Sus scrofa: one gene and its partner. The protein of the gene in region 2 interacts with the protein of the main gene of each other region in a pairwise test. Links are inferred from orthologs where the notes say so. Each region holds a gene or a part of one and is shown on either strand. Other genes may lie near its edges.

The links. The genes of interacting proteins can lie anywhere in the genome.
Region 1: the proteins of SGTA (region 2) and CDH15 interact in binary tests that used the Homo sapiens proteins (3 or more experiments, as listed by UniProt). The two-hybrid records come from large-scale screens. The link is inferred for Sus scrofa from reciprocal best matches to the Homo sapiens genes SGTA and CDH15.

What each region holds. Positions count from the first base shown.
Region 1 is NC_010448.4:636,115-645,800, forward strand, and holds the end of CDH15 (cadherin-15), read right to left. Parts: intron 8,997-9,686; coding exon 8,852-8,996; intron 5,813-8,851; coding exon 5,652-5,812; intron 4,976-5,651; coding exon 4,847-4,975; intron 4,523-4,846; coding exon 4,337-4,522; intron 3,382-4,336; coding exon 3,128-3,381; intron 2,602-3,127; coding exon 2,459-2,601; intron 2,325-2,458; coding exon 2,088-2,324; intron 1,814-2,087; coding exon 1,574-1,813; intron 1,468-1,573; coding exon 1,331-1,467; intron 1,217-1,330; coding exon 1,049-1,216; intron 724-1,048; coding exon 523-723; 3' UTR 236-522; downstream 1-235. UniProt on the Homo sapiens protein: Cadherins are calcium-dependent cell adhesion proteins. They preferentially interact with themselves in a homophilic manner in connecting cells; cadherins may thus contribute to the sorting of heterogeneous cell types.
Region 2 is NC_010444.4:75,888,655-75,898,635, reverse strand, and holds the end of SGTA (small glutamine-rich tetratricopeptide repeat-containing protein alpha), read right to left. Parts: intron 9,434-9,981; coding exon 9,334-9,433; intron 8,463-9,333; coding exon 8,358-8,462; intron 7,424-8,357; coding exon 7,285-7,423; intron 6,576-7,284; coding exon 6,513-6,575; intron 5,397-6,512; coding exon 5,359-5,396; intron 4,840-5,358; coding exon 4,750-4,839; intron 4,591-4,749; coding exon 4,476-4,590; 3' UTR 4,470-4,475; intron 3,553-4,469; exon of another isoform or gene 3,501-3,552; 3' UTR 2,358-3,500; downstream 1-2,357. UniProt on the Homo sapiens protein: Co-chaperone that binds misfolded and hydrophobic patches-containing client proteins in the cytosol. Mediates their targeting to the endoplasmic reticulum but also regulates their sorting to the proteasome when targeting fails.

The DNA of each region.
Region 1 (9,686 bases), on a different chromosome or scaffold from region 2:
CATCCCTACTTCTCCTCATGGGGGCCAATGTGAGTGTGGGCCCTGCAGGCCAACAGAGCTGTTGCTTGGCCGGAGGTCTGCCCATTGGTTGGGGGTGCAGCTCTGGGGTCAGCCCTCAGAATGATTGGTGGGCAGGAGGCTGCTGTTCGTTCTACCCTGTCCGTCTACCCAGGGTGCACTGGGGAATCCGAGGCCCGAGGGACTAAGGTCAGAAGGATTCTACATGAAGGGGCTATTTTTTTTTTTTTTTTTTTTTTTTTTGCTTTTTTTTGTTGTTGTTGCACCCAAGGCATATGGAAGTTCCTGAATCGGAGCTGCAGCTGCTGGCCTACGCCTCAGGCCACCCACCCACGCCACGGACCTGGTGCCCTGTCTGCCGTGCAGAGGTCAGCTGACCCTTCCGGCCACACAGCCCAGTCCAGCGTGTCCACTTGGACCCCTGTGGTGTGCCCTCTGGATGGGGAGGAAGTGCCCTGAGCAAGGAGGGTACAGGTCCATCCGAAAGCCACGTCCCCGGCACCTTCACGGGGGCCCGTACAAATCGGCCAGCCGGGCGAAGCGGGGGCCCCAGTCCTGGAGGCAGCTGTAGTCCTGGTCCTCGTCGCCCAGGCTGGACAGGATGGAGCTCAGCGTCCCGGCCACAGAGCCGTCCCCCTCGTAGTCGTAGATGAGAGCCGTGTCGTAGGGGGGGACGCTGGGGTCACTGTCTGCAGCCTCCAAGCCCTGTGAACAGGCCTGGGGCTCAGGAGCAGTGCTGACCTGCCCGGCCGGTGGCCTCCGCCACTGTGGCAGTGGCTCCGGAGAGGCTCCCGGGAGACAGAGCCAGAAGGGGGAAAGGGGTGACCAGGGTTGGCACAGCAGCCCTGAGCCGGCCCTTGGGAGCACCTGCCACAGAACGCGGACTAGAGGCAAGGTCCCCTCTGGGTGGGTTTCCCTCTCGCGGACTCGAGCCCCTACCTCCAGCCCTCCATCCTGCGCCCCAAGCGCGCCCCAGGCGTGAGGGGGCATGTGAGCACGGGCCTGGTCCCGCCACCCGCTTGGCACCTACATCGAGGATGAAGTCAGCGATGTCAGTGGGGCTGGTGGGCAGCGCACGGGGAGCCTGGGGGCGCGCTCGGCCAAACGGGGCATCTCGGCGCATCAGCGGCCTTCCTAGGGGGGCGCTCAGGGCCGCCAGCTCTTCTGGGTGGCGCAGTTGGTCCATGTCATAGGCATCCTGTGGACAGAGCGCCAGGGAGCTCAGCCGCGGGTCTGGGTGCCCTCCTGGGGCGGCCGGCAGGGGCCCCACAGAGACCCCCCCCACTCAGCACTTCAAGCCCCGTCCCCTCACCTGGTCCTCCTCCCCGCCCCCCTGCTCATCGTAGTTGAGGATGTTGTCCCGGAGATCGTCCTGCAGCCCGTGCAGAAGCCCCTTGTCCCACGACTGCTGCCGGGACCGCGCCAGGAGGGCCACCAGCAGGGCGAGCACTAGGTGGGGGATGGGGCGGAGGTCGGGTGGGCATGGGGCAGGGGAGACGGAAGGGGCTGCGGGGGGCGTGGGTCCGAGCGCTGGGGTGCGCAGGCCGGCACTCACAGAGCAGCAGGATGACGCTGGCCAGCACGATGACCAGGGCCCCCAGGCTGATGCCGGCGCCGCCCGCCCGCAGCGCAGCGGCTCCTGGCAGGCAGGTGCCGTCCTGGCCACAGCGGCACACGGTCACGTTCAGGGGCTGCTCGCGCTGCTGCGGCGGCTGTCCTGAGTCCCGAAGCAGCAGGCTGAGGCGGTACAGACCCTCCTGGACCTGGTGCCGCAGCTGCAGGCGCGCATGGCTCACTGCAGAGGGCGCTCGCGGTCAGCAGGGGCGAGGCAGCAGCTCCGAGCTGCCCATCCACCTCCCGACCCCCTCTGTGCCTGTGCTTGGGGTGGGAGCCTGCTGCGTGGGGTTCCTGAGATGCTGGGGCTCTGCCTCCCCATCTGTCCATAGGGTGTGTCACCCATCCCTACCCGGCCCGCGGAGGCACCGCGGAGGGAGCCAGTGGGACCACGATGCGGAGTGACCCCGGCAGGCCCCAGGCTCTGGACCCGCAGGGGCGTGGGGAGAGCTCACCATTCACAGGGCTGAGGCTCCAGTTCCGGGCCAGCTCTGGAACCCTGGGGCTCAGCTGGAAGTGGAAGGGGGCCCCGTGGGGGGGGAGGTCCTCATCCGTGGCCCCCAGGAGAAGGCCGGAGCCCTGGTCTGGCGCGCTGCACAGGCTGCCCCAAGGCGGGGACAGCTCGGGGGCGTGGTCGTTGACCTCCAGGATCTCAATGGACAGGGTCCCAGTGGCCGTGCTGGGTGGTGAGGCTGCAGGCAGGACGGGCCTGGTGAGCCCTCGGCCCACGGGAACCCTCGCCTCCCCCCGCAGGCCTGCTCGGTGGAGCCCCCAGCCCAGAGCCCTTGGGCAGCAGCGGGGGGCCCAGGCCGGGCTCCGCACTCACCATCGTCTTGGGCCAGGATGACGGCGCGATACCAGCCATCCTTGAGGAAGGGGGATGCGGGGCTGAGCACACGCTGCGTCTGGACCTGGCCAGTGGCCCCGTCCACGTGCAGCCAGTCTTCAGGGTCGTAGTCCTTGGAGTAGCTGTTGGGGGGCAGGGCAGTGGGTGGCCTTGGGCCCAAGTGCGACCCCAGGGGTGTGTCCCACGGAGACACACAGACACCTCTGAAGCTGGTTCTAGAGCCCTACGCGGCCCAAACAGCAGACGAAGAAACTGAGGGTCGGGAGGGCAGGCAAGCTGCTCAGGGCCCCCGGCCCCTGAGTGACAACAGGGTTCAACCGTGGCACCACGGGGACAGACCCAGATCCACGGGGCCAGGGCAGGGGGTGAAGTCCAAGGTGTTAACACCCAGTCCCACGGGAACAGCGGCTTCCCAGCGCGGCTGGGGAACGATGGAGGCCAAGTCAGCTGCGCCGGGGAGAGCCCAGCCCTGCCCCGCCAGCAAGGCCGCATGAACACAAGCACATGCGTGGACGCTTGGTGACACACACGGATGAGCCCCCACCCTCCAACCACAGCGCAGACCTGCGGGAACCCGGGGCACAGGCCTCACACTCTGAGCTGTGCTGCCCTGGCTGGGGGTCCCCTCTGCTCAGCCGAGGCCCCCACCTGAGCCTCTGCGGCCGACGTGTGTCAGGGTCTCGGGCAGAGAAGGTGGCCACGGGGGTTCCTGGGGCTGCCCCCTCAGCCAGGCTGGCCCTTAGCGGGTTCTCCCGGAACACGGGGGGCTCGTTGACATCCCGCACCTGCACGCTGACCCTGGCCTGGCCCCGTTCAGCCCTGGGGGCGGCTGCCTGCAGGGGGGCCTCATTCTGCACCGCCACTTTGAGGGTGTACCGCTCGCAGCTCTCATAGTCCAGGGGCTGCAGGAAAGCAGAGGGGCGGCCCATCACGCCTCGGGGCCCTGCGCAGCGGGGGCGCCCCAGGCAGCTTGGGCTGGAGAGCCCTGCACACTGGCACTGCCGCCCTCCTCTGACCTCAGAGCCCCAACTTCCTTCTTTTCAGCCTTGGGAAAATAAAAATAATGCAAGACAAAAAGCACGAAGAAGACTGTAAAAACGACAAATACTCTTCACTCGAAATGAGTCTGTGGGGAGCTGTGTGGTCAGTTTTCTGTCACTTGGCTGGACTGTCCCCCTCAGTGACTCAGGGGGGCAGACACTCATCGGGCCCCATGCTTAAGCTGGCCATACAGAAACTTTAAACCAAGCGGCTTATCCTGGATAAGCGGGTGGGGAAGGGTCTTGTCTGTGGCTGGAAGCCTTTGAGAGCAAACGTGCCATCTCCCTGCAGAAGAAGGAACCCGGCCTCCAGGTGCGGCCTCAGCTCCTAGGCTTTCAGCCGGCCAGCTGCCACTCAGTGGCCCCAGGAACCATCGAAATCTCTCTCTGCACAAACATATGTGAGCTGCAGTGTGCACGCATACGTGTGCATGCATGCGTGTGTATAGCTGTGTGTGTAGCCGTGCGTGCGCATGTGTGTGTGCATGTGTGGCTGTGTGCGCATGCATGTGCACGTGTGTGCACGCGTGTGTGTAGCTGTGTGTGCACAGGCATGCAGAAATGTATCTCTTGCTGGTTCTCTCTCTGGTTTCAGGTCAGTCGACACGTGAGGTCTGCACGTGCTCACCGGGAACATGCGTCGAACGCCGGAAATAACCCCGAGCGGGTGGTGCTGCCCCGCCTCTCAGCCCTGTCGTCCTGTGTTGCGTGACCCAAGCCTGCAGTCCCCGCGCGCCAGGCCCTCTGGCTGCTCCTTCCTGAGGGGCCACGGACGCTTCCATCAGGTGGCCGGTGTGAGAGACGCCCGCCAGCTCACCTTCACCACGGACAGCACGCCCTCGTTGGTCCTGGGGTCCGTGCGGATGGCGAAGTGCCCCTGAGGGTCACCCTCCAAGATGGTGAACCTGGCCGCCCAGTTGGGGGAGCCGGGCAGGTCCCGGTCCTCCACCTCAAGCCGCCCCACGTCCACGCCGCTGACGGCCTCGGCGGCCTCCAGGAAGAACTGCAGAAACTCGGCCCCGTTACCCACAGGCCGGTCTCTCCCACCCACTGCCCACCCAAGCGCAGTCCTCTGGCCCAGGGGCCCGGGAACCACCGCCCCCCTCAGCTGCTGGCCAGGCAGGCACTGCCCTCTCCAAGGCAGGGCCACGGCCCCCACCACCAAGCTCCCGACGCTTGACGTGCTCACAAGCCACCTGTGCTGATCGGGGCCTTGAACCAACCATGCGGGGTGTCTCCTCCGGGCTCCCAGCCCCCCACCCCTCACCAGGAGCCCCGACCAGGGCAGCCCCAAGCAGCGGCAGCGGGGCAAGGGCGGAGCCACCACCTCTTCCCCAGTGAACTCGGGGGCGTTGTCATTGACATCCTGGAGCGTGATGACAGCTGAGGCGGTGGCCGTGAGCCCGTCTCCAGACATGTCTGCCACCTGCAGGGTCAGGTTGTACACGGCGACCACCTGGGGACAGGTGACGCAGCATCAGGAGACTGGATGGAGCATGTGGCCAGGGCTGCGTGGCCACCTTAGGGCTTGGGGGCAGGGTAGGCACACCCCCTGCAGCTCAGCCCCCTGCCAGGCGCTCGTGGCTCTGAGACCCCAGGTGGCTCGAGTACCTGCCCTGCTCTGCAGTCCTGGGGCACAAGGTGCTGCCTGGCTTCTCAGTCCCACCACAGGACTGTCGACTCCAGGCTCTGCCCCAGCCTGTGAGCAGGCAGAAGAGCAGTGACCGAGTCAGATAAGCATTTACAGAGCGCCTGCTGCATGCAAGGTGCTAGTCCCTGCCCTGGGGAGCCGGGAGCAGTGGCAGAGAAAGGGGGCAAAGATCACCTCGCATGGTAAGTAGCCAGACAGAGCACCTGGGTGGCTGTGGGGAACCAAGGAGGGCTTCCTGGAGGTGCAGATGCCACACGGAAAGGAGCCTGGCAGCGAGGGGCCACACGGACGGCCCTACCCCGGGCCAGGGAGCCTGAATTCTTCACAGGCAACAGGCGGGACTTTGGGCTGAAAAGGGGCTGAGGGCCCGTAAACCGGCTTCGGATCTACCCACCCGCCCACCCACAGGGCAGGGTGGCTCAGGCTGGGTCTGCCCGGCCCAGGCCCGAGGGGAATGTCGGCCGCGGTGAGCAGCCCTCACCTCGCGGTCCAGGCCCACTTGCACCGTGCGGATGTCCCCTGAGAGCGCATCGATGCTGAAGAGCTGGGGGCCCCCCTGCTCCAGGATCGAGTACCGGAGGGCCGCGTTGTCCGTCTCCGGGTCGTCCGCGTCTGTGGCCTCCGCCCTGGTCACCAAGGTACCTGGGAAGGGCGGGGACGTGTGGCGGTGACACCCACGGGCACCAGCCCCTAACTCCAGCACACCCTGCCTGCTCTGCTGCAGCCCACGGGCCCAGTCCAGGCTGTGTTCAGCCCATGCCCAACGTCCAAGCTGCTGACTCGTGCTGCTTGGGTTGGGGGAGGTGGGTGTCCGACGTGCACAGCTGACACCTGTTTTCCACGGGACACCTGGGCCTGGCCCCGAACCCCAGCCCCAGGAGGAAGAGAGTGCAGGCAAGCTGGGCAGCTCCAGGGCAAACAGGACAGCAAGCCTCAGGAGAGGGGTCACTGCAGCGGAGGCCCACCAGTCCCGGTGCCCTGCGTTCCTTCTGATCCCTGGGGCACTGCACGCTCCCCTGCCTGGGAGCAGCCCAGGCAGCCAGGCCTGTCGCTGGCGGGTGACTAAGGAACAGCATCAAAGCAGCCGCTGGCCAAGCCACGGAAGGTGGGGAGCCACCAAGCAGGTACGTCCTGGTGCAACTCTGGACCCCAGAGTAGAGCCAGAAACAGCGCTCCAAGCAGCCCCCTTCCTGGAGCGCAGGTGAGCCGCTCCGAGGGGCCCCAAGCCCCGACGCCCGGCAGGTGAGCACACACGGGGGACCGGGGCCCAGCTTCTCACCATCAGAGAAGGGACCCCACAAGGGACCTCGCAGACCCGGGATGCCAGTGGGTGCTGGCAAGGACTTGTGACTCAGAAGGAAGGTGGAGGAGCGTGCAAACATGGCTGAGCGCACACATACACGCCAGACACACACGCACACGCAGACACATGCACAGCTGCACCTTTGTGAACTTACTGCCCAGCTCTGCCTGCTGAAAGGGCCTGGGCCAGTGGATGAGTTTCTCACTGAGCCAACGCGAGCATCAAATCATGGCTGCAGGAGTTCCCGTCATGGCTTAGCAGTTAACAGACCCGACTAGTATCTATGAGGATGCAGGTTCAATCCTTGGCCTCGATCAGTGGGTTAAGGATCCGGCACAGCCGTGAGCTGTGGTGTAGGTTGCAGATGCAGCTCGGATCTCGCGTTGCTGTGGCTCTGGTGTAGGCCGGTGGCTACAGCTCCGACAGGACCCCTAGACTGGGAACCTCCATATGCCGAGGGTGCGGCCTTTAAGAGCAAAAAAAAAAAAAAAAAATCACGGCTGCGAAGAATGATCAAGCAATGGGGTGCCCGCAGTGGCCCAATGGGATCCGCGGCATCTTGGGAGCGCTAGGACACAGGTTCGTTCCCCCGCCCGGCAAGGTGCATTAAGGATCCAGCACGGCTGCAGCTGCGGATTAGGTCAGATCTGACCCCCAGAGAGAGAACCTATACGCCACGGGGAGGCCAAAAAAATAACGATCATAAAATAGAAAGAATTCTTACCCATTGAATTAAGAGGACATGAAGCGTCCAGACTAACATATGTGAATACACATATACCCAAAGCACACGCACACACACCTATGTACACACACACATGCACACACTGAAGACACACAGACATATACAGTACGTACAAGCACTTGAGTTCTATCGTGTAACGGAGACGAAGGACAGGATGAAACAAGAATGGGGACAGTGGAGATTCAGGCAGGAGCCCGGGGGCGGGCGGTCTGAGGGCAGCAGGGCCTGCAGAGAACCTTCCACCAGAGGCCTATTCATCACAAAGGGAACAGCAGGAGTTCCCGCCGTGGCGCAGTGGTTAACGAATCTGACTAGGAACCATGAGGTTGCGGGTTCGGTCCCTGCCCTTGCTCAGCGGGTTAAGGATCCGACGTTGCCGTGAGCTGTGGTGTAGGTTGCAGATGCGGCTCGGGTCCCGAGTTGCTGTGGCTCTGGCGTAGGCTGGCAGCTACAGCTCTGATTCGACCCCTAGCCTGGGAACCTCCATATGCTGCAGGAGCGGCCCAAGGAAAAAAAAAAAAAAAAAAACAAAGGGAACAGCAGGAAGCCCCGGAACCAGGGTCTCAGGGGGCCTCCAGGCACACAGACCCACACCTGGAGACAATCGCAACCAAGGGGAGGTGGCAGAATGAACAGTGAGTGAGAAGCAGAAAACGCTGCTGAGAGGAATGCAAGGAAACGCAGACGGCTGCAAACACAAGCCACAGTCACGGTTTGGAAGAGGGCAAATTGCTAAGATGACAGGACTACCCAACGCAACCTGCAGCTTCAGTCCTGCCCCCCTCGAGTCCCAAAAACACCTCCTTTGCCTATAAAGTCAAAGCATTTACTCAGGCAAGCGAGGTGCTGCCTCAGGGCCCATGACAGACAAAGCGTTGTGGGGCTTTTGCCATGAAAACATGGAATCAAGAATCAACGAGGAGTTCCCGCTGTGGCTCGGCAAGTTAAGAACTTGACTAGTCTCTGTGCTCCTGAAGGATGCAGGTTCGATCCCTCGCCTCGCTCGGTGGGTTAAGGATCTGGTGTTGCCGTGAGCTGTGGTGTAGGTCGCAGACCTGGCTTGCATTTACTGTTGCTGTGGTTGAGGTGCAGGCCAGCAGCTCCAATTCGACCCTTAGCCTGGGAACTTCCATATGCAGCAGCTGCTCACGTTGCTGTGGAGGCACGGGTTTGATCCCCGGCCTGGCCAGTGGGTTAAGGATCCCGCGTCGCCACAGCTGTCGTGATTCAGGAAGTGACAGCTAACAGGCCGGAGCCTCCTTTCGGGGGTGATGTGTGGGGCCTGTGCGCTGTGAACGCGTAAATGCCATGAACTGCTCAGTTTAAAATGGTTAATTTCAGGTTATGTGAACTTCACCTCAATTTAGAAAAGGGGGGAGAGAGAGGGGATGGGGAGGGGGGAGCAGAGGAACCACCAGAGCTTAGCCATCCGCAGATGCTCTCCAGCTTTGGAAGACGTGCGGCTTGAATTTACACTGCAAGAAGTGACCTGTGGAAACTCCTGCAGTCGTGGAGGCTATGTACCTATTTTTCAAGTCCTCGGTGAGGAGAACCCCTGGATTCCTGAGCTCCCCAGCACCCACCTCTAGGCTCCCTACCTCACTGGCAGCTGGAGCAGGTGGCTGGCACTCACCTGGGACAGCGCCTTCCAGCACCTGGCCAGTGAACACCTCCTGCCTGAAGACCGGCCGGTTGTCATTCTGGTCCACAACCACGATCTCCAGATCTGTGGGCTCCTCCAGGGTGGACCCCCCCAGGTCCAGAGCGAAGGCCCTGAGCTAATTGAGCAGAGAGCAAGGGCTGGCACTGGGTTCCCCAATTTTCAGCAGCCCCCCAAAGGCAAATGGGACAGCAAATGCAGAGGTGGTGCCTGCTGAAAACCCCACTGAAACAAGTGAGAAGCAGTTCAGGGGCAGACAGAATCCCCCAAGAAGAGCCCATTTCCTCCCAGCAGGCAGGGCGGCCGCCATGCTTCCCCTATCACCTTGGCCACCAGGAAGCTCACAGCCATGTTTCAAACGTGACTCAGGCGATGCTCTCCTAGCCTCTCTCTCTTTTTCTGTAAATGGTTTTGGCTGCTCTTGAAGTTTAACTTCTCTGTATGGGTGCAGTTTTGACTTAACCTACCTCCTGCCCCTCAGAGAATAGGTGAGATTTAACTTCCAAGGAAAACACAGTCTTTCTGTGGAAACCAAAGAGGGTTCTTAAAGCTTGACAAGGCTTTAGGGCACCTGAATGGCAAAGGCTGAAGCCCCTTCCCTGGGTCAGGTCAGCCCGGGGGGTACCCATGTCTATAGGGACTCAGGTGAGTTCTACGTTCCCTCCTTGGCCCAGCTCTCCTCCCTCTCTCCACGGCTCTTTGTCCTAGACCCCACAGCCCAAGCCTTTCAAGGGCCAGCTTCCAGGCCACCTCCATCCTACCCCAACAGTCCTGGGGCGGCTGCTGCTGGGGTTCTTCAAGCCTCCCA
Region 2 (9,981 bases):
GAACCCACGTCCTCATGGATACTAGTCAGGTTTGTTAACTACTGAGCCATGACGGGAGCTCCCAAGGCTATCTATTATTGATCCCAGTGATAGCCATGTCATAGTTGCTGGAACCTGTGATACCATACATAGCAAAAGGGTTTTTGCAGGTGGGATTAAATTAAGGACTCTGAGATGAGATGGGGGTGATCTCTCATCACCCAGGGCGGGTCCAGTATCACCACAAGGACTGTTATAAAAAGGAGGCAGAGGGAGTTCCCTGGTAGCTCAGTGGGCTAAGGACCTGGCATTGTCACTGCTGAGGCTTTGGTTGCTGCTGTGGACTGGGAACTTCCAAACGGCACTGATGTGGCCAAAGGGGGAAAAAAGAGATGCAGAGGGGGATTGGACACAGACAGGAGAGGTCATGTGAAGACAGAGGTAGAGACTGGACAGACGTGGCCAGAAGCCAAGGACACCACAGCCCCTGGAGGATGCAAGGGGTGGATCCTCCCCTGGGATGCCTGGATGGAGCGCTGGCTTTTGAACTGGAGAAACTGGTTTTGTGCATCTGGTTCCCAGAACCATGAGAGAGTAAAAGTGTGTTGGTTTAAGCCACCAAGTCTATAGTAATTTGCTCTGGCAGCCCCAGGAGATGAATAGAGGAGGCCCCATTGGGAGGCAGGGGGACACACAGAGCTGAGGGCCACTTCTGGGAGCGGAGGGAGTCAGGCCTCAATCTACAAGGTAAGGACTGAACTTTGTCCACAACCTGTGAGCAGATACCACAGACCAGGCTGGGACCCAGGCAGAGACCCCAGCTGAACCTGATTTCTGACTCAGAGAAACTGGGAAGTAACCAAAGTATTGGGTTTTTTTGGGCCATGCCTTTGGGATTTGGAATTTCTGGGGCCAGGGATTGAACACATACCACAGCAGTGACAACACCAGATCCTTAACCCACTGAGCCAGCTGGGAACTCCTGCATTTTTATAAAGGAATCATTTCCTTGGGCAGGTGGCTGAAGCTATGTAAAATGCCGGTTTACTGCATCAACTCAGTGGTTCTCAAGACTGAGTGAGCCACCAAGATTAAGTGTGCAGAAATCAATGAGATTCTGTGCAAACACAGATCAGAAACTCAGAGCTGGCCGGGCCACCTTCCTCACCTGCTCCACTGGTGCCCACAACACTCGGCCTGTGCTGGGGAGTTGGGGTAGTGGTGTAGGGGAGCGGTGAGGACAGCAGAGAGCTTCCATGTCCACCAGTGGCACCAGGAATGGGCCCTTCCTCCTCTTTGAAATTTAAGTCTCTGCTGGCCACCATCCAAGAGACAAGGAAAACACCATGGGAGTTCCCATTTGGCAGAGTGGAAACGAAACTTACTAATAACCATGAGGTAGCGGGTTCAATCCCTGGCCTTGCTCAGTGGGTTAAGGATCCAGTGTTGCCATGAGCTATGGTGTAGGTCGCAGATGTGGCTTAGATCCTTCGTTGCTGTGGCTGTGCCAGCAGCTATAGCTCTGATTCAACCCCTAGCCTGGGAACTTCCATGTGTCACAGGTACAACCCTAAAAACCTAAAACAAAACAAAAACAAACAAACAAAAAAAGGAAAACATTGAGGTCATCTCTGCAGGACGTGGAAGCTCAAGGTCACTGGAGGATGGAAGGCTAACTCCTTGGAGCTGAAGGTGGTAGGTGTCGCAGGCTCCTGTTCCAAGGGCTGAAAGTGTCCCCACAGCCCAACGGCCAGCTTGCAGCCAAGTGCAGGTCCTGATGGGCCCCTCTGCCCATGTCATATGTGTGGCCTCCAGAAACTGGAAAAGGCAGGAACTGATTCTTCCCTGGAGCCTCCAGAAGGTGCCAGTCCCATCCATGCCCAGGTTTAGCCCTGGTCCCACTCCTGGCCTCCAGGACTGAGATGATGTGCGTGGTTAAAAGCCACTGAGGGAGTTCCCATTGTGGCTCAGTGGTAATGAACCCAACTAGTATCCATGAGGATGCAGGTTCGATCCCTGGCCTTGCTCAGTGGACTTAAGGATGCGGCATTGCAGTGAGCTGTTGTGTAGGTCACAGACGAGGCTCGGATCCCACGTTGCTATAGCTGTGGCATAGGCCAGCAGCTGCAGCTCTGTTTAGACCACTAGCCTGGGAACTTCCATACAGCGAAGGAGCGGCCCCAAAAAGCAAAAAAAAAAAAAAAAAAAAAAAAAAAAAGCCACTGAATTTGTGGGAACATCTCAGGGGCTGTAGGAAATATATACATGACCTGGTTCAATGGTTTCAAGGTGACTCATGCGGGGTCCACCCAGGCTGGGGATTCCTGGAAGCTCGGGTCAGGGAGGGTGGGAGTGGTGCTGAAAGAGCAACACAGAGCAGAGGTCACGATGTCTATTTATTCCCCACACATTATGCTTGTCACCATGGCTAGCACTCTAGAATCAGGACATATCTCTCCGGACGCGTGCAGAGCGCAGGTGGCTGTCTCCCTAGAGTTACCTACGACACATGGCGATGGGTCTACCTCACAGACGCCCCCCCACCACCAGGAGCCTCAGGTGATCCCACTGCCAATATGGGCATGGGTGCAGTGACGCTAGCGACATCTCCTCCCCACCCTGCCCCTGCCCAGGCCAGGGCTCAGGGGACATCCACAGTGGCTGACCCACCCCTGCTCCAGAAGCTGCTTCCATGGCTGCCTGGAAATCTCCCAGGGCAGGTGGCACCAGGGCCCTGCAGCTGCCACCCCGAACAGAATGAGAGCCTGCTGAGGATGCCATGCGTTGGGTCAGTGGGACCACCTGGAGGCAAGAGGGCAGTGTCTGGGACACAGGGATAGGCTGGGATGGGGCCATGAGGGTGCCCCTTGCAGTCTGTCGGTCTCGAGCACTGGGAAAAGAGGATGTAGATCAGACACGCATCCATCAAAACACGCAACAGGAAAAAAAACCGTCCTGTGCACCCAGGACATTCCCCTGGCCCTGCTGGGCGCTGGACGACGGAACCGTTGTCTAGGAACCTGCAACTGAGTTCCTCATGCACGAACCCGGGTCCTAGGGCCGGGTGTGGCTGGCAGTGAGCTTGTCAGAGCTGGGGTGGCCAAAGTCGACTCAGGAAGGGCTGGGAGGCCCGAGGCCAGACCAAGGGGTCGGGGCTGCAGGAAGGGCAGCAGGGCCACGGCATCCCCACAGGCTGCTTCTCCGACAGCAGTGAGAAGACTACCCCACCCTGGGAATATTTTAGAAAACACTTTAGTCACTAGGTTTGGGGGGGTGTTGGAGGGAGATGGATGCTGGTCTGCACTCACAGCTTGCTGGCTCTGTTTCGAGAGAGGTCTGGGGGCCATGAGAGTACAAAAAGGGAGAGAAGGGTGAAGGCAAAAAAAAATAATAATAATAAAAATCTGTCTTAACATGCAGGTCCAATTTCTTTTTCTCTCGTGGGCAGTCCAATGGGAGAAGACGGCAGAACACAAGAAGGCTTCTGGTCGGCCACGCAGGACCCGATGGCACTGGGACAGCTGGAGGAAGAAGACAGGAGGGTGGCGGTCAGGAGATGGAGCCACGCGGTGCCTGTGGTGGAGAGGGCGGTGGGAGGACAGGCTTAAAGCAAATCCTCAGCCAGATGGGATTTGAAGGCACTCCAGGGATCCGGCTCCGACCAGTGATGAACACAAACTTGACCTCAGATGTGTGTATGTGGTTTTTAAATTTTTTGGCTACACCTGTGGCATGTGAAAGTTCCCAGGCCAGGGATCGAACCTGAGCCACAACAGTGACTGAGCCACTGCAATGACCATGTTGGATCCTTAACCTGCTGCACCACCAGGGAAATCCCCTCCCCGCCTTTTAAAGCGCACACGCACACGCACACACACGTCTGGAAGGAAAAGTATCCAGAATCTTAACATTTGTTGCTGTGGATGGAAAGGTTTGGGTTGTTCTCCACTGGTATTTTAACATTTTTGTCCTTTAGAATTTTCTATAAAAAGTCATGGTTAAAGAAAAGCATAAAGAGGGATGGTGACAAATAAGGGAAAGCAGGGAACGCACCCCCTGGGCAGGAGAGCCACCTGTGCCTGTGTCCATGGAGACGGGATGGGGATGGGGGGGCCCTGGACACTAACTAAGCTGGCCAAGGCTGTTGGGGACCCTCCTGGGACATCTGGGTGTATTTTTTTTTAAAGCAATTATTGTACATGTCACATCTGCTCACAGCAAGAAACAAAACAAACCAAAATCAGAAAACCTGGACATTAACATCCAGAGTGAGAGGCATGTGCCAGCCTGTCTTCCACATCCAGTCACAGCTGCCCATGCTCTTGCGAGAGCACGGCAGACTCAGGAGGGGTCCACCTCTCATCCGCATGGCCCACCTGAACGGTAAGTGGAAGGGGATTTGGGTGGGAATGCTTGGCAAGGGCCTGGTGTCCTGAGATGCCCCCGCCTGGCCTTGATGGCTCAGGGAGCCCCCAGCCCCGGGGACTCACAGGCCATCACTCCTGCTGGTCATCGTTGCTGGCACTGGGGGTCCGACTGCGGATCTGACTTCGTAGCTGTTCTATCAACTCTGGGTTCTGCTGCTGCATCTGCTGAGCGAACTGCTGGCCCCTGCGGAGGTGAGCAAAGGCTTGGCCCATGCCCAGCTCCACCCCCACCCCAGGGTAGGGGACTGTTCCCTGGAGGACATGGGCCCCAAGAGCACCTGGGGACACTACTGTGCAGGCCCCTCCTCCCCTGGGAGCCACCCCACCCGGCAGATCCACTCACGCCTGGATGAGACTGGCCAGGTCGTTCTGCGAGGGACTGGTGCCCGGAGTCCCCAGGGGGTTGTGGCCACCCGAAATCATGCCAGACATGCTGCAGAGAGAGCCCTTGACTCGCAGACGGCCCAGCCCCCTCCCTCAGCCACCCCACTCAGCCTCTCCCCTCTGCAGGCAAGAGACCTTTTCTGTTGCTGCCAAACCAGCCCAGGGCCCACCCTTCTCTCTGACTGCAGCCTGTGTTTCATCGGCTTCCCCTGGAAGGTCCTTTCTTGGCTTAAAGGTAGTGATTCTCAACGGGGCAATTCTGTCCTCCAGGGACACTGGGGGATGCCGGTGACAGCAAAGACCACAGGATGCCCGAGTTCATTTACAAGAAACGTCCAGAAGAGGCACACTGGAGACAAGGGAGGGGGTGGAGTGACTGCTGATGGGGACAGGGCTTCTTTCTGGGGAGATGAAAACTCTGGAATCAGATGGTGGCGACAGCTACAGGACATTGGTATACTTGGCACCATGGAACCATAAACCTTAGAATGCCCACAACGGTACATTTTATGCATCTTTTACCAGTCATTTTAACCACAAGACCCAAAGAAGAACGGCTGTCACTTACAGCTGTTGAACCTGGGGATTATTCATTAGATTTGATGCCTGAAGAAAGAACAGACTTGTCAGCGTAAGCACTCTGGGCACCAGGCCCACCTCCTCCCTGTGCCCTGACCCTCCTCTGCTGCCCAACTTTGACCGTGGCTGGACACATATTAAGAGATTCCAGGAAGTTCCCACTGTGGTGCAACAGTACTGGCAGTGTCTCTGGAGCTCTGGGACAGGTTTGATCCCCAGCCCGGGGCTGTGGAACTCCATGATGTCCCAGAGTGACCAAAAAAAAATTTTATTAAAAAGCTTAAAAAAAAAAAAAAAAAGCGCTCCCAGGCATCACACTATCTTCCCCGACCAAGGCTGCCTTGGGAGTCACCTGCTCTGTGGATGACAACGTCCTGGATGCTGTCCTGCAATCTTGGCCCCATGGGATTATCTCCTTAGGCCAATTTCAAGATTTGGATGAGCAGGGAGCTGAGGAGGCGGCTTCCGGGCCAGAGAGCGCTACCAGCCGGTCTTGGCTTGTCCACTGGGCCTGCCATCCGGGCATTACCACACAAAGCCACGGGGGACTATGACCCCTGATCCAGATGCATGAGGCCAAAGGAGTGGCTACTGTCAGGCAGAGCCCCCGCCGGGCCTCCCTGGGTGGCCCTGTGCCCACCTCATCCCTGGGCAAGGGCAGTGGCCAGGCTCTAAGACATGGGAGGCCAGATGCCTCTCGCTGAGGAGGGGGCTTCTCTGACGACCAGGGTTCCAAGCTCCTCTCCCTGACAGCTGAGACCCCACACCCCCGCAGTGTGGCCCGAGGACCAGCAGGACCACCTAGGGGTGGATAGGCACCTGCAGACACGCTGGGTGCCTGCTTCCAGAGGATGTCCCTGCACGGAACACTCGCCTGGGGACCTGAGTGTCTGGCCCTGGAGGTGGCCCTTCCTCCGCCGGGCCCAGCGCCCCACAGTGTCTTGTCTGAGCTTCAGGGAGAAGGCGCGGCCACTCTGCTGTCACTGTGTCCACACCCTGAGGGGCCCAGGCTGTGTTATTTGGCCTAGAGAGGCAGGTTTGGTTTGTCCTCTGTGCTCAACACTGAGGGTCTTAAGGGGCGATGTGGACCCTGCCCCCACCCAGGACATGGCACTCGTGGGACATGTGCAGCTGTCATCTTACCATGCTCATAAAGCTCGGGTTGTTCAGCAGGCCTGCGATGTCAAAGCTGCCAACACCTCCCGTCTATAGGGGGAGAAAAGCCTGCTTAGTGTGTGTGGACACAGGACCCTGATGCCTGGCCCCGGAACTGAGAAGCAGGGTCCCACGTGGGCCCTGTTTGGAATCCTGGGCGTCCTAGCAGCCTTGGCAGCCCAGTCCTGCGGCCAGACAGCACTTTGCAAAAGGCATGCACCACAGTGTGGGTTACTCAGGAAAGGCATGGCATGTTAGCTGTCTTTCCCGTCCTGACGCTGACCTGGACAGACGGCCCTTCCCAGGGGTGACCAATCCCTAGGGAGAGTTATGACTCGCCCAAGGGTGCTCCTTTCCCACACAAACTAGCCAGTGCACAGTGGCACCCCAGGCCCTCCTCCTCCCATACTCAGGGCCCTGTCCCTGCCCTCATCACCCCAGGTAGCCCCTGCCCCAGAGCCCAGGGATCATTCAAACTAGCGAATCCTGATCTCACTCGCCCGCCTGCCTGCTCCTTCTGAGGGATCCATACCACAGGCTCTGTCCCCCAGGAGCCCGAAGGCTTCCCTGGGCAGGCCCCTTCCTCTTCCTGGGGGTCTGTGAAGATAAGCTTCTTTCCGTACAAAAAGACTCCATTAAACACATGCTGCCCCCCACCCCTCCCTTCTTCTCACACAGGGCATGCCCAGCCCTCAACCCCATGCCTCAGGAGTGTCTGCCCCACCACCCTGTCCCCATGGCTCGTCCCTAGGGGACTCACAGGGCTGGGCGCCTCTCTCAGCCTCAGCTCTGCGACCTTGAGGTTGGACTTGTAGGTCTCATTGTCGGGGTCCAGCTCCAAGGCCTTCCTATAGTAGGCCACGGCCTCTGTGTGCTTGTTCAGGCTGGACAGTGCCAGGCTGCAGGAGAGACAGCAGGTGTGTGTGGGGGGGGCCTGGGAGGCTGCCCGGGTCATGAGGGGAGTCAGGCTCGGGGAGGGTAGCACAAGACCCGGAAGGCGGCAGAACAGGGGTGGTCAGAACCCCCTGCTCCAGGCAGAGCGGCATCACAGAACTGTCCTCGGACCACACCTGAGTTTATTCTGCTAATGAGGAGCCTCAGGATGGGCATTTGTCCGGGAAGACCAAACAAACTCACCCCAGCCTTTGGGGAGGAAGGTGCTAGAGACAGGTGATTAAACCCTTGAACAGGAGTTCCTGTCATGGTGCAGTGGTTAACGAATCTGATTAGGAACCATGAGGTTGCAGTTCGATCCCTGGCCTTGTCCAGTGGGTTAAGGATCCGGCGTTGCGTTGCTGTGGCTCTGGCGTAGGCCAGTGGCTACGGCTCCGATTAGACCCCTAGCCTGGGAACCTCCATATGCTATGGGAGTGGCCCAAGAAATGGCAAAAAAGACAAAAAAAAAAAAAACCCTGAACAGCGAGACTGGAGACTGTCTCCACTGGTGACTGTCTTGAATGCAGGTCAAGGGTGCAGTGCAAACCCCAAGGGGATGGGAGCTCTGCCTTGGGACCCACCCTGACCTCGCCCTGTTTGCATACTTTACAACGAGCAGGTGAATGTACGTGAAATGGTTCTGAGTTCTGTGAATCCTGATGTATAGTTGGTGGAGAAGCTCAGATGATGGCCTGGACATGACTGGTGGGTGAGGTGGGAAGTCCTGTGGAGCGGAGTCCTTAACTTGAGGGGCCTGCATGGCCCCCAGGCAGGCAGTGGCTGCACTGTTGTAGAGGTCGGTGAGCTGGGGTGGGCAGGTGGTGTGGAAAAGATTCCACCGCACCAGGAGGAAGCCCTGCACGGGTGCAGGTGTGGACGCGGGTGAGGGGTACTTACCCCATCCTGCCGTAGGCCTTGCTATAGGACGGGTCTATGCAGATGGCTCGCTCACAGTCCTGTACGGCGCCTGCGTAGTTGCCCAGTTTGCTGTAGGCTGCAGCTCTAGGGGAGGAAAGAGGGCAGGCGGAGCTGACTCCTCATTGGCCGCCGAGGAGGCGGCACGGGGGCAGCATCAGCCTCCATGGCTGTCACAGGGGGTTTCCAGGAGTGTGAGGCCTGGTTAGATAAACACGGGTCGAACTCAGGCTTCTGTCGGCCAGGGGCCGCCGGGGTCATGCAGGAGGACCCAGCAGTCTGTCCCATTTACTGGGGAATCTGAGGCTGAGGGAGCAGAGGGACAGCCGGGACAGGGAGAGGAAGGGAGGAGCACCTGCCCATCCCCTGTGGCCAAGTGTCTCAGCGTCACTTCCCTTCTGGTTGGGTTTGTGGTATTTGCACTTTATGTCTCCTAGAGTTTCTCAGTACATAAAGATGTCAGGCAGGAAACACTAAGTGAGAAGCGGCCATGCGGGCGGGCAGAGGGTACAGGAGGCAATTCTCCATGCCACCTGTGCAGCTTCCCAGGAAATCTCAACCTGTTCCATGAGAGCAGTTCCAAGGCAGAACCTGAAGCTCAGGGAGGCTCTACCCTGGGCAGCTGGACCTGCCGCAGCTTCCGGCCTCTGCACACAGCTCTCACACAGATATTCGACTCCCTACCTGCTTTCCTCTGCCTGCTTCTTGCCGCCACTACACCCCACACCGTGGGCAACAAGGGCTGACTGTTTAGCCTTCCCTTTGGGTCATTGGCTCTGCCACATAGAGAACAGAGCCGCCCACCTCCAGCGTGCCTGCTGCCCCTTGCTCACAGCTTGCCAGCCGCCTGGCATGTGCTCTTATTTGGGAGAGTGGCTGAACCATCACCACCCTGCCCTATGGCTGGACCACCCCTCCACTCCCTCCTGTTCCCTGGGGGACCCGCGCTCGGCCGTACCTGTTACAGAAGTAGACGGCATTGGAGGGGTTCAGCTCGATGGCTTTCCCGTAGAAGTGCACGGCGGCCTCAAAGTTTTCTACTTTCATCTGTTCATTTCCTGAAGAGAAAGGGAGGAAAGCGTAGAGCCAGCTGTTTCCATCAGACCCCAGAAGTCAAAGGTGCAGCCTCAGCTTCCTAGCTTCTGTCTGAAGGTGTGAGATTTTGGGGCCAGGACGCAACACTTAGCTACAGGCTGAGGCTGGTGACTTGAGGAGGAGGGTGGTGTTTGTGTCCAGTATAAGGCCTGGCCCGAGCCAGCTCTCACTGCTCCAGTTTTGGTATTTAGGAACCTAAGCCTCAAATATTGTTGCTCTTGCTCCTTCCTTCAGAAACAGCTGGTTTCTTTCCCTTTTTTTCTTTTTTCTTTTCAGGGCTGCACCTGCAGCATGGAAGTTCCCAGGCTAGGGGTTGATTGGAGCTGCAGCTGCTGGCCTACACCACAGCCACAGCCACAGCCACACCAGATCCGAGCTGCATCTGTGACCTACCATAACTCACTGGATCCTTAGCATACTGAGTGAGGCCAGGGATCGAACCTGAGTCCTCATGGATACTGGTCGGGTTCTTAACCTCTGAGCCACAACAGGAACTCCCAGAAACAGTTGT